3 linked regions of the Notamacropus eugenii genome follow. The protein of the gene in region 1 interacts with the protein of each later gene in a biochemical or structural test. Links are inferred from orthologs where the notes say so. Each region holds a gene or a part of one and is shown in the gene's direction. Other genes may lie near its edges. The genes, in order: RB1, CDK3 and RBBP4.

Region 1 (3,745 bases):
AAAAAGGAAGTTTTCATCCAGACAAGTTATGGGGCTTGCTCTAGATCAACAGGTGGGTTACGTAGCAAAGTCAGGATTTGTACAAACTACCAATCTTGAAAGCTCCACGTCTGAAAATACTATCTCCTGGACTCCCTTGGCATGCTTTTAAGTACTGCACACATTCAGCTAAAATAAAGTGAGTGTTGCATGCTGAAAGATCATGGCTGGGAGGGACATAAGAAAGCCATTCAGCTCCAAACCCTTCATTTTACAGATAAGGAAACTGAGCTGAGAGACATTCATTGATCTGCCTAAGACCTCAGGAGCAGTAAGCATCAGAAGTGGTTATCTGAACTCAAGACCTCTGAGTTCAGAGCCTGTGATCTTTCTACTGAACCACTCTACTATCAAATCAAGTCCTAATAATGATAGTTAACATCTGTATACACTTACTATGTACTGGGAGGTGTGCTAAGCACTTCACAATTAATAAGGATGATAGTAATAGCTAACATATATATGCGTGTGTCTCTCTCTCTACATAGACACATATACACACGTATAGATAGATAGATAGTGTTTACCATATGCCAGACAGGAGGCAATTAGGTGGCTCGATGGATTGAGCAGAGGGCCTGGAGTCAGAAAGAAGTGAGTTCAAATTTGTCCTCATACACCTAAGAATTGTGTGACCCCGGGCAAGTCCCGTAACCTGTTTTTGTTTTTTATTTTCAGTTTTCTCCTCTATAAAATGAGCTGGAAGAAGGAATGGCAAAGCACTCCAGTGTTTTTGCCAAGAAGACCCCCAATGGGGCCACGGACAGTTAGCTGCCCACGACTCAACAACAACGATATATCCGGCACTGGGGTAAGGGTAAACGATAACCCTGACATAGCGCTCGCTGAGTGCCAGGCCCTGGGGAAGAGCTGAGCAATGATCCCCTGGGATGCTCACGGCCACCTTGGGAGGCAGCTCGTGGATTATCCCTGTTTGACAGTACAGGGGCGATGACTCGCCCAGGGTCACACTCCCTACGTCTGAGGCTGGAGGGGCTCCTTTACGCATGCGGGCTCCTGCGTCCACAGCACGGGGCAGTCAAGGAGCCGCGTGCTCGGGAGCACGACGGCGCTGCAGGTAACCAGAGGGCAGGCCCAAGCCGGGCCTGCTCAGGGGAAGAGGCCGGCGCTGGTTGCCGGGGCTCCGGGCCTCTCCGTCCCGATAGGTACCCCACCCCCAGCACGGGGCCGGGCCCCACGACACGCTCGTGGCCTCGCCGCGGCCGGCACCCGCAGCCCCACCCTTCTCTCGCCGCGGACCTTCTCCCTTCTGCCTCCCAGGCTCGGCGGGCGGGCCCGGGAACTCGGTGGGACTTAGCGCGCAGGAGCGGAAGTGACGTTTTCCCGCGGTTGAGCGCGGAGCTTTTGGTGCCGGGCTAGGGTTAGAGAGGTGGGTGGAGACAGGGCTCTCCCGGTTGTTTGGTTGTTTTCGGAGAACGTTTAAAGTTTTCTAACGGGAGCCGAGAGAGGACGAAGGGCGTCTGGGGCGGCGCGTTCACTTGGGAAGAGCGCGTGCGCGCGTGTTCCCCTTTGCCCCTCACCTCCCAACCCCCCAGTCGCTCCTGCCAGTCAGTCGGTCGGTCAGTCAGTCAGTCATGCCACCCAAAGCCCCTCGGAAACCGGCTGTTCTGACCCCGGAGCCGCCACCGCCGCCGCCTTCCCCTCCCCCTCGCCAGGAGGAGCCGGAGCCGGATAGCGGCCCAGAGGACCTGCCGCTCGTCAGGTGAGAGAGCCGGGGCCGGAGCCTCTCCGGGGAGCGGGGCACCCGGCAGACGCCGCGGCGTGACCAGGGAGGGGCCGGCTGCCCGTCGAGGCGGCCTGCGGGCCCGAGCCCGGAGCGGGGCACGAGCCCCCGGCGGCCCCTGGGCCGGCTGACAGCTGCGAACGCGGGGCGCCGGGCCGCGGGGACGGGGCTTCCCGGCCGCAGCCTTGGCCCCAGGTTGACAGGTGGGTGGGGCGGGCCGGGGTCCCGGGGAGAAGGAGTGACAGGTGGCTTCTTTCTCTCTCGGGTGGTGGAGGGTGGGGGTGGTGACTGTGCTTAGTCGGGGAGAGAGCATTGTTTCCTCTCCAGAGATGCCCACGGATCCTGTTCTGTTCTGTTCCGTGCGGTGGAGTTCGGAGATTGTTGGGGTCCGAGCGCACCCTGATGAGATACATTAAGAAACCCCACGACATCCCCCTCCCCCACCCCGCCCCCTCCACTCCTAAATGGTGTGTTGAATGCGGGTGCGCATATCATACTTTGTCACTTCCTGTGTAATAAAGCTAATAAAAAGTATTGTTTTTACCATCTTGCCAGAGCTTAGTGTCGGGGTGGTGGTGGTGGGGGACAGTTACTGTGGGAACTGCTGAGAATGAGGGTCCACCCTTCTGTAGTGTTACCAGACTAATGAGAAGTCTAGTGAGATCTGAGCCCCGGAGTATGGCGATGCTGTAAGGTGTGGAGGTGGGAAATGAGAAGTTATTTGTAGTGATTTTGTAAGAAAATTACTCATTAGTAGCATTTTTTTTCTTGGTCCATGTTTTAAACCCTTGTGAAACACTTTCAGTGATGTAATTTACAGCACAAGCGCTTAAAACGTAAAACTGACAAGGGTTGTTCTATGAATTTCGTCTTTATTTTTATTTTTTCCCCAAATTTAGATGAAACTCCTTGCATGTAGATCTGCATCAGCGTGTCAAAGTTGATTGATTTTAAATTTTTGGTGGGTAGAGACATTGATGTCTGATATCGAGTATTGTTTTGTAAGATGTTCAGCCATGACCAATCACATGGAATTGTTTACTTAATGAAATCTTTATATGAGCAACCCTAGTGGATACAGTAGAATATTACAGAGTGGTATGTCATGTGTATGTTACAACTTGTTGGTTGTTTTTCTTTTTTGTAGCCATTCTTTATGTTTGATATTGAAAAACATATATTTAGTATGTTTACTCTCCAGTCAGTCAGCCAGCCAGTAAACATTCATTAAGACCAAGCATGCTATGTGTTGGGAATACCAACAAAGCAAAAGGCAATCCCTGACCTTAAGGACCTCACCATCCAATTGGGGAGACTGCATGCAAACAACTAAGGTACAACAAGACCTATACAGGACAGATTGGAGATCCTGGACAGAAGGAAGGCGCTAGCATTAAGGGGAATTGGAAAATGCTTTTTTGCATGAGGTGGGATTTTAGTTGGGATTTGAAGGAAGCCAAGATTTGTTTCTACTTTGTGGTTATGGATCTATTGAAGGGCAATGAATGCTAATATATACAATTTAAAAAAAAGTCAACTTGATGTTATTGTAAGGTCTTACCATGAAACTGGGCATATAGACAGAGTGGACAGAGAGTGCTGGGCCTGAAGTCAGACTCATCTTCCTGAGTTCAAATCTGGCCTCAGACATTTATTAGCTGTGTTACCCTGGGCAAGTCACTTAACCTTGTTTGCCTCAGTTTCCTTATCTGTAAAATCAGTTGAAGAAGGAAATGGCAAACCACTCCACAGTTTTTGCCAAGAGCAACACAAATGGGGCAACTAAACAACAACAGATATATTATTTGGTTTGTGTTTTTAATAGGCTCATAGAAGACATTTTGAGTGCTTTAAATGTACAATTAAAATATATAAGTAGAAAGAATACAAGAGGTCAGATTTCAGATGGTGATGTAGTAGAAAATGTCGTTCTTTATTCAGCTAGTCAAGTTCTGGTGGTTT
Region 2 (3,745 bases), on another chromosome or scaffold:
AGGGACCAAATACCTCTTTCCCCAAAGGGCCCATTTATTTTACCGGACACATTTTTGGGGAGATGGTGATGAAGGTTAATGGAAGAAATATTTTCTGTTTTCTAGAGGGCTGGGCATGCATTCATATGAGGTGGTTTTTGTGTGACCTATGGACCAATCCTCCTCACCCCCATCCCATGTGGACCAGGTCGCGTCCTTGGGGGCAAAGTTTCTTTCTTTGGTTATCACCTCCACCCTCAGAGATTTATTCCAGGGAAATCTCTTAAATAAAGCTTAGGTATAGCTTTTCTTTTTAACAGTAATTAATTTATTCTGAACTTAGCTGACACCAAATACAGTGAGCATTTCCATACACAAAGCACAGCAGAAGAAAGGACTACACGTGTGGTCCAGGGGTACCTGTCAGATGTAAGACAACCTTTATTTGACATGAAAAGACATGAGACTCAAGGGACTGAGGAACCCATGGACAAATAAAGAAACCTAAGAGCCTGGGCCAGGGTGAGTCTACCAGGTTATCAGCCGCGATGGGGTGACCAGGACGGCCTTGGGGAGGCCCCTCCAGCCCTCCAGCTACAGAAGCCATGTTGTGGGCCTCAGCCTTCTCTGTGGAGCGTTCTCTGAGGAAACCCCCTGGGGGAGCCCCAAACACCAGAATGTTACATTTGGAGATGAACTGCTTACGAGATGACCCCCAAGGCTGGGGACTCTGACTTGGGCTCTTGGGGTTGGGGTCGGTAGGGGAGGACTGCCCCCCCCCCCCCCCACCGCTATGGCCTGGAAGTCCAGGACAAAGGGCCTGGCCCTTCACGCCTCCCCAGGGCTGTGTGGGAACCTGCCGCAGAAGGAGGAAGGGCTGGGTCCTGGAGTGCTTGGTGACCTTCCTGTGGGGGAGGGGGGAGAGGGACAGGGACCCCCAGGGCCCCTGTGCAGGGAGGGGGGCCCTTGGAAGGCCCCAGGCCCGGGGCAGGGCCTGAAGCAGGGCCTTCAGGGAAGGCAGGCACTAGGCCCGAAAGCCTGCTGGCACCAAGGCTGCCTCCGAGGCTCCTGGGGCTGTCCTTTGACCTCTGACCTCCAGGCTGTTCCCAGGGTGCCCCTGAGGGAGCCTGAGCTGGAGTGGGGGAGGTGGGAGGGAGCAGAGAGGACACAGGAGGGACAGGAGGTTTGGTCCTCCCTGCTCCCCGTAGTGGGCAGCAGCGGGCAGGCCGGGGTGGGGGGCTTGGCTTCAGGCTTGGGGAGCCTCCTAGTGCCCTGGAGGACCTGTCCCCAGGCCCCGGAGCTCACAGGCCCCAAGGGTGGAAGAGAGCCTGAGGGTGGGGCAGGGGGGGATGAGCCCCATGCCAGGGCACTGCCAGGAGGGGGCAGCGGGGATGGAGGGGCAGGTCACCCAGGGGTCTGGTGGTGGTGCCAGGGGGGCCAGGCATGCTCAGGGCAGGCCCTCTGACCCCCAGGCAGGCAGCGCCAGCATGGACGTGTTCCAGAAGGTGGAGAAGATCGGGGAGGGCACCTACGGGGTGGTGTACAAGGCGAGGAACAGACAGACCGGCCAGCTCGTGGCCCTGAAGAAGATTCGCCTGGACTCGTGAGTGCCCGGGCAGGGGCCACCTTCCCCCGGGCGCCCGCCGTGGCCTTCTCCCACCTTCCCAGCCGCAGGGCTCACATTCAGTTCCTAACCTCTGTCCTCCCCCACCTTTCTGCCCCTCTCCTTGTACCCAGGTGTGTGTGGGGGGGATTCCAAGCTTGAGACACCTGCTTCAGACAGAGAGGGTTGTTCTCGTACCCACAGAGTCAGGGGTGAGGGTGTGGGCAGGGGGACATCTCAGGAGGAGGACGATTGGGCAAGGCCCTCAAGCTAGATGCTGCGTCCTTAGATCGTGCCTCCTGCCTCCAGTCTCATCCCCCGCAACCCATCCCTTACTGCAGGGAGACGGAGGGTGTCCCAAGCACTGCCATTCGGGAGATCTCCCTTCTCAAAGAACTTAAGCACCCCAATATCGTCAGGTAAGTTAGAGGGGAGAGGCCCAAGAGAATGAGGGGCCCTCCCCACCCTACCTCCCCCTGACTGGGAATGCTCCTAGTTTTTTGTGACTAGAATCTTCTCATCAGGCTACTGGATGTGGTGCACAGTGAGAAAAAACTGTACCTGGTGTTTGAGTTCCTCAGCCAGGACCTGAAGAAATATATGGACTCAGCTGCAGCCACAGAACTTCCCCTGCATCTGGTCAAGGTACCATGAAATAAGAGAGGGTGGGGATGATGGTGCCTCCTACCTACCCAGACCCAGTTATACTCCCACTAAGCCTCTGCCCTTCTGTTCTAGAGCTACCTCTTCCAGCTGCTCCAAGGAGTAAATTTCTGCCACTCCCATCGGGTCATCCACCGTGATCTAAAGCCCCAGAACCTTCTCATCAATGAATTAGGTGCCATCAAGCTGGCTGATTTTGGGCTGGCCCGAGCCTTTGGTGTGCCCCTGCGTACCTACACCCATGAGGTACTATTGGGTTAGGGACCAGAGCTTTACTTGTATGTGGGCTGGACTACCACTCAACCACCAGGGTGGCCCAGAGTGGCACTGGCTTCTGCCCCTACAGGTGGTAACCCTCTGGTATCGCGCCCCTGAAATTCTCCTGGGCTGCAAGTTCTACTCAACAGCTGTGGATGTCTGGAGCATTGGTTGCATCTTTGCAGAGATGGTAAAGGGAGACAAAGGAGGGTGTCCTGCTGAATTTAGGCTCAGTCTTCTGGGTGGTGTAGGAGTCGGGCTAGCTGGAGGGCTGAGCAAACTATAACCGTACCTCACAGCTATAGAAACCCTGGAAACAGGTTAGCTCAAAACGTTCTACTTTTGACCTTCTTCACCAAGCCCTAAAAGTTTACTCTGTGTTGGATTCTGTTTAGAGGGAGATAGGGAAAGGGGAGATTAAGAAAAAGGAATTAGGTGCTGGGGGTAACAAGGAGTTCTCTCCCTTTAGGTGACACGCAGGGCCCTATTTCCTGGTGATTCTGAAATTGACCAGCTGTTTCGAATTTTTCGGACCCTTGGCACACCCAGTGAAGCCATGTGGCCAGGGGTCACCCAGCTGCCAGATTATAAGGGCAGTTTCCCCAAGTGGACCAAGAAGTCAATAGAGGAGATTGTGCCTAGTCTTGACCCAGAGGGCAAAGACCTGCTCATGGTAGGTGAATGGAAGATGGAAAAGAGGGTATCCGACTCCAGCTGTTGGTCCAGAGTCTGGTCCAGTTAGGGTGAGGAGCTATGCCTGCTTTGGCAGGAGTCAATCCAATCAGCCAAACCCATCTGTTTTTTGTTTCCTGCATTTATCTTGCTCTTCTCTGCCTCATTAGTTAGAACCACTCCCTCCACCACAACATAGCTAACATTTGAATGGCACTTCAAAGTTTGCCAAGGACTTTACATTTGATACTCACAACAATCCTGTAAAGGAGGAGGTGCTATTGTTATCCCCATTTTACAGATGAGGACCGACCCTCAGAGCAGTTACATGATTTACCTAAAGTCACACAGCTAGTAAGTATATGAGTCAAAATTTGAACCCCAGATTTCTTGGCAACAAATCCTCTATGCTGGAGTGCCTCTGTATTTGGCCTATCTTCCCTGCTCCCATCCTCACATTTAAAACCGTTCATAACACCCCTTTTCTAGAAAGACTTTCCTATTTAGCAACAATGAACTCTTATCCTTTCATCTGGAGCACATATATCCTTGAGTTACACTATTGTCAAT
Region 3 (3,745 bases), about 31 Mb from region 1:
ACTTCCCTAACTCATCTTCCCTTATCTCCCTCTTTGCTGAACTCCTGTAGCAACCTACAATTTTAATGCTCAATTAACATATTATTATAATGCTCTCTAATTCTTCCATGCATACTAGTTCTGGATTCCCAACTAGACCATAAATTCTTTAAGGGAAAAATACCTAGTATAATCCTTTGTATAGAGTGGCCACTAAAATATTTATGAACTCATTTTTTTATCCACTACAAAGGACCCTAAATACTTATTGCCTGCCTTTAAATTTACTCAGCAGCTTCTCCTACTTTACTATAGTAGTGTGAACCAATGGAAAGAACATCCCACTTGGAGTTATAAGACCTGAGTTCAAATTCCAAACTCTGCTGAGTTTCTAATACCAGTTTGACCTTAGGCAAGTCACTTAACCTCTCTGGAACCATGTTCTCATCTGTAAAATGAAAGCCTAGACCAATGACCTTTGAGATCCCTTCTAATTGTAAATCTATAATCCCGTGACTCTTACCCCAAAACCCTAAGAACTTTAAACGCATATAGCGCACACATTTATATTTAACATACTCCGTAACACATGGCCAATATAGACCCATATTTTGCATGCCTTCATCCACATAATGGGCATCACACAGCTTGCCTTCTCAATGGGTGGGAGGATTCTGTGAAATGAGACTGGACTAAATGCCCTCCGACTCTAAATCTGCGATCCTGTGATCTAGTCTTTTACAGAAAAGGACGCTGCGGCTCAGACCCGGGAGGGACGCGAGCAGGAAACCGGCCAGGGGCCCTGTGGAGTGTGTGCCCTGGGCATCTTCTCGGTGGGACTCTGGGCTCTCCATCTCAGGCTACACCTCTGCAAAATGGGGCGCGGTAAGACGAGGGAGCCCAAGGTCCATTAGTGGCGCGGGGCAAGGACTGCCACTGCGGCCGTCTCACGCCTCGAGAGCGCCCCTTCTCCACCCTAGGTAGAAGGCCGCCCCAAATCTGAGAGGAAGAGCACTCACATTCGTATTTCCGGGTGGCCGGGGGGTACTTGGCCTTGATCGCCTTTTGCGCTTCATTCAGGTTGTAGTCCCTCACGTCTTCCCCTTCCTGAGCCATGACTTACTCCGCCAAGGCTCCGCTTCCGCCCTTCGCCGGCGCAGCTTCCGCCCGGAGTCCCCGCCCCGCGACGCGTGCCCTTAAAGGGCCAGGCCTCAGTTTTAGCCATCCTCCGCTACGGTCGCTGACCCTAGGCCTTATCACGTAGTGGGAGGAGCTGACAGGGAGACAGTCGGGGGCTAAATTGGCTCCCCCCTCCCCCCCAGCCCTTACACTACTGTAGGTCTAGGTGACGGTGCGTTCGCCCCCGAGGAAAGAAGCTGGGCTACCCTCCGTAAAGGGTCCCAAGTTCCCTCTCGCCTCAATGGAGGGGGGTCCTGGGACTCTCCCGTCGAAGGAGGTCAAAGCCAGAACCTCGGGTGAGCCTTAATGGAGCCTGACTTTGGAAAATGGCCGCCTCCCAGGGGAGCTTCGAGCCTTCCCCCGTTTTCCAGCTTTCCCCTCCCCCTCCCGCCCCGCTCACGTGACCACCAACCGTTTTCCCGGGCGGCTGGGCTGCGCGCGCTCGCTAATCTCGGCAACCCGACCGCGCGGGGAGAGGAGGAGGCGGTGCCAAACCTTGGGGGGAGGGGTAGACCTCGAGGCCGAGGCCGGCTCGCGGTGGCGACGCGCCTTCCAATTGGCCACCGCCGTGGCGCCCTCCTCCCCTTTCGCCCCCCTCCTTTCGCCTGAGCCTGTTCCGATTGGCCGCCGTTGGCGCGAAGGTGCGCGACTCGGGCCACACGCAGGGGCGGCAGGAAACAATAGAGGCCGCGCGCTCTGAGCGAGCGCCGTCGAGCCCTCCCCACCCCCACCCCTTCACCCTCACCCCCCCCCCCTTCGCGGTGCTGCGACCCCGGGAGTCCCCGGCCCCTGCGCCCGTCATTCAGTCCGTCAGCTTCTTCGCCCACCATGGCCGACAAGGAAGGTGAGGAGAGCAGGGGGAGGGAAGGGGGCCGAGCGCGGAGGAGGGGGCCTTCCCGGCCGCCCGAATAGGCCCTCCCAGACCGCGAAGGGAGGGATGTGAGAGGAGCCCTCCCCACCCGCGGCCTCCCGCTCTTCCCGGTGTCCCGGGACTGCGATCCTCCCGCAGGCCTCTCCGCCTGGTCTACGTGTCCGTCCCCAGGAAGGAGGCCCCCTGGGGCTGGGGGGAGGGGTGCGCGGCGGCGAGCTCTGCCAAGTTGGGGATTCCATCCCCCGCTTCTTACATCTGGGGAAACTGAGGCCGCACGAGGGCGCGGGACTTGCCCAAGTTCGCGGGGTAGCGAGTAGCCAAGGCGGAATCGGAACCCAAGTCCTGCCGACCGACGGCGCTGCTACGCCGGCTGAGTGACCTTGGACAGGTGGCTTCACTTGGAGAGCTGGAGGATGAGACTTGGGGGCTTTCTCCAGCATCCGTGCCCGCCTCCTGAACAATCCGCCTGAAGCCCGGGTGTGATGGCGAGTTTGGGCTTGCCCGTGCCCCCAGCGGGCTCCCCAGTGGGCACGGGATGGAGGACGAAACCCTCGCGGACGCTGAAGTCCCTCGTGGTCCAGCCCGGCCTTTGCGGACGCTGTCCCCGGTGGAGCCTCGCCGACCCCTCCGCTCGGCCCCGAGCTCGGCCCCGGCTCCTGCCTGGAGCGCTCCCCCCCGCTGGGCGTCCCGGAGTTCTGGACTTCGCAGGGCTCCTCGCGCGTCCTGTCTCCCGGGGGAAGCTTGGAAGAACTCCAGTAAAGTGGACCTTGACGTGCTCGCCCTCGCTCTTAGCACTCTTTCTGACTGGAGAATCCCATTCCTTATCTATTTGTGTTACATCCGCTCACCCTCCGGGAATGTTTCTGAAGGATGGGTATTTTTTTTAACCTTTGCACCTTTAGTGCGTTCTTTGTATTAAGCACGCAGTAAGATTTGTCACCTTCGACTGGCTCGGTCCCATTTTTTTCTTGTTAGCCCCTGTTTACTCATTTGAAAAAGGAAGGGGCTGAATTCAATCTCCAAAAAGCTTTTTCCAGCCATTAAACCTATGAAATGAGCCCTGAAGTTCTTTACAGTCCCACACAAATGGGAAAGGGGGAAGATTTGGAGGATTAACACCTTGTACAAGGGGCTGGATACTCCTGTCCCTCACAAGCTGCCTGAGGAAAGAAATGTGTGCCATGTTTCATTTTTCAAAGTACTCACATCTGGAGGTTAACTCCGTTTATTTTATTTTTTTAGCAGCCTTTGATGATGCTGTAGAAGAACGAGTGATCAACGAGGAGTATAAAATATGGAAAAAAAATACTCCTTTTCTCTATGACTTAGTGATGACCCATGCCCTAGAGTGGCCCAGCCTGACTGCACAGTGGCTTCCAGATGTAACCAGGTGATCTGAATATCTTAATGGTTAAAAGCACTAGGAGTGGCATCAAAATAATAATAGTGAGCTCTTATATAGATCTTTATTGTCTACAAGGAACTTTACAAATATCTCATTAAAACACCACAACAACCCTGGGAGGTAGGTGCTGTTATTATCCTTGTTTTACAGATGAGGAAGCTGAGGCAGAAATTAAGTGACTTGCCTGGAGTTACAAAACTAGTAAATGTCCCATGCCGGATTTGAATGGTGTCTTCCTGACTCCAGGTCCAGTAGTCCATCTACTGTACCATCTAGCTATCCTAGATCTGAGGATCTACTCTAGGATTGGA

What was found.
Region 2: of the proteins of RB1 (region 1) and CDK3, one has a biochemical effect on the other in vitro, tested with the Homo sapiens proteins (2 studies listed by BioGRID). The link is inferred for Notamacropus eugenii from reciprocal best matches to the Homo sapiens genes RB1 and CDK3.
Region 3: the proteins of RB1 (region 1) and RBBP4 form a complex in vitro, tested with the Homo sapiens proteins (2 studies listed by BioGRID). The link is inferred for Notamacropus eugenii from reciprocal best matches to the Homo sapiens genes RB1 and RBBP4.

What each region holds. Positions count from the first base shown.
Region 1 is NC_092876.1:108,202,703-108,206,447, reverse strand, and holds the start of RB1 (retinoblastoma-associated protein), read left to right. Parts: upstream 1-1,382; 5' UTR 1,383-1,634; coding exon 1,635-1,762; intron 1,763-3,745. UniProt on the Homo sapiens protein: Tumor suppressor that is a key regulator of the G1/S transition of the cell cycle. The hypophosphorylated form binds transcription regulators of the E2F family, preventing transcription of E2F-responsive genes.
Region 2 is NC_092873.1:342,252,319-342,256,063, forward strand, and holds the start of CDK3 (cyclin-dependent kinase 3), read left to right. Parts: upstream 1-1,359; 5' UTR 1,360-1,370; coding exon 1,371-1,582; intron 1,583-1,923; coding exon 1,924-2,001; intron 2,002-2,106; coding exon 2,107-2,227; intron 2,228-2,320; coding exon 2,321-2,491; intron 2,492-2,591; coding exon 2,592-2,693; intron 2,694-2,972; coding exon 2,973-3,176; intron 3,177-3,745. UniProt on the Homo sapiens protein: Serine/threonine-protein kinase that plays a critical role in the control of the eukaryotic cell cycle; involved in G0-G1 and G1-S cell cycle transitions. Interacts with CCNC/cyclin-C during interphase. Phosphorylates histone H1, ATF1, RB1 and CABLES1.
Region 3 is NC_092876.1:77,231,577-77,235,321, reverse strand, and holds the start of RBBP4 (histone-binding protein RBBP4), read left to right. Parts: upstream 1-1,341; 5' UTR 1,342-1,399; coding exon 1,400-1,454; intron 1,455-1,654; exon of another isoform or gene 1,655-1,986; coding exon of another isoform or gene 1,987-2,002; intron 2,003-2,282; coding exon of another isoform or gene 2,283-2,469; exon of another isoform or gene 2,470-2,669; intron 2,670-3,271; coding exon 3,272-3,419; intron 3,420-3,745. Other genes in the region: ZBTB8OS (protein archease), read right to left, coding at 2,283-2,469. UniProt on the Homo sapiens protein: Core histone-binding subunit that may target chromatin assembly factors, chromatin remodeling factors and histone deacetylases to their histone substrates in a manner that is regulated by nucleosomal DNA.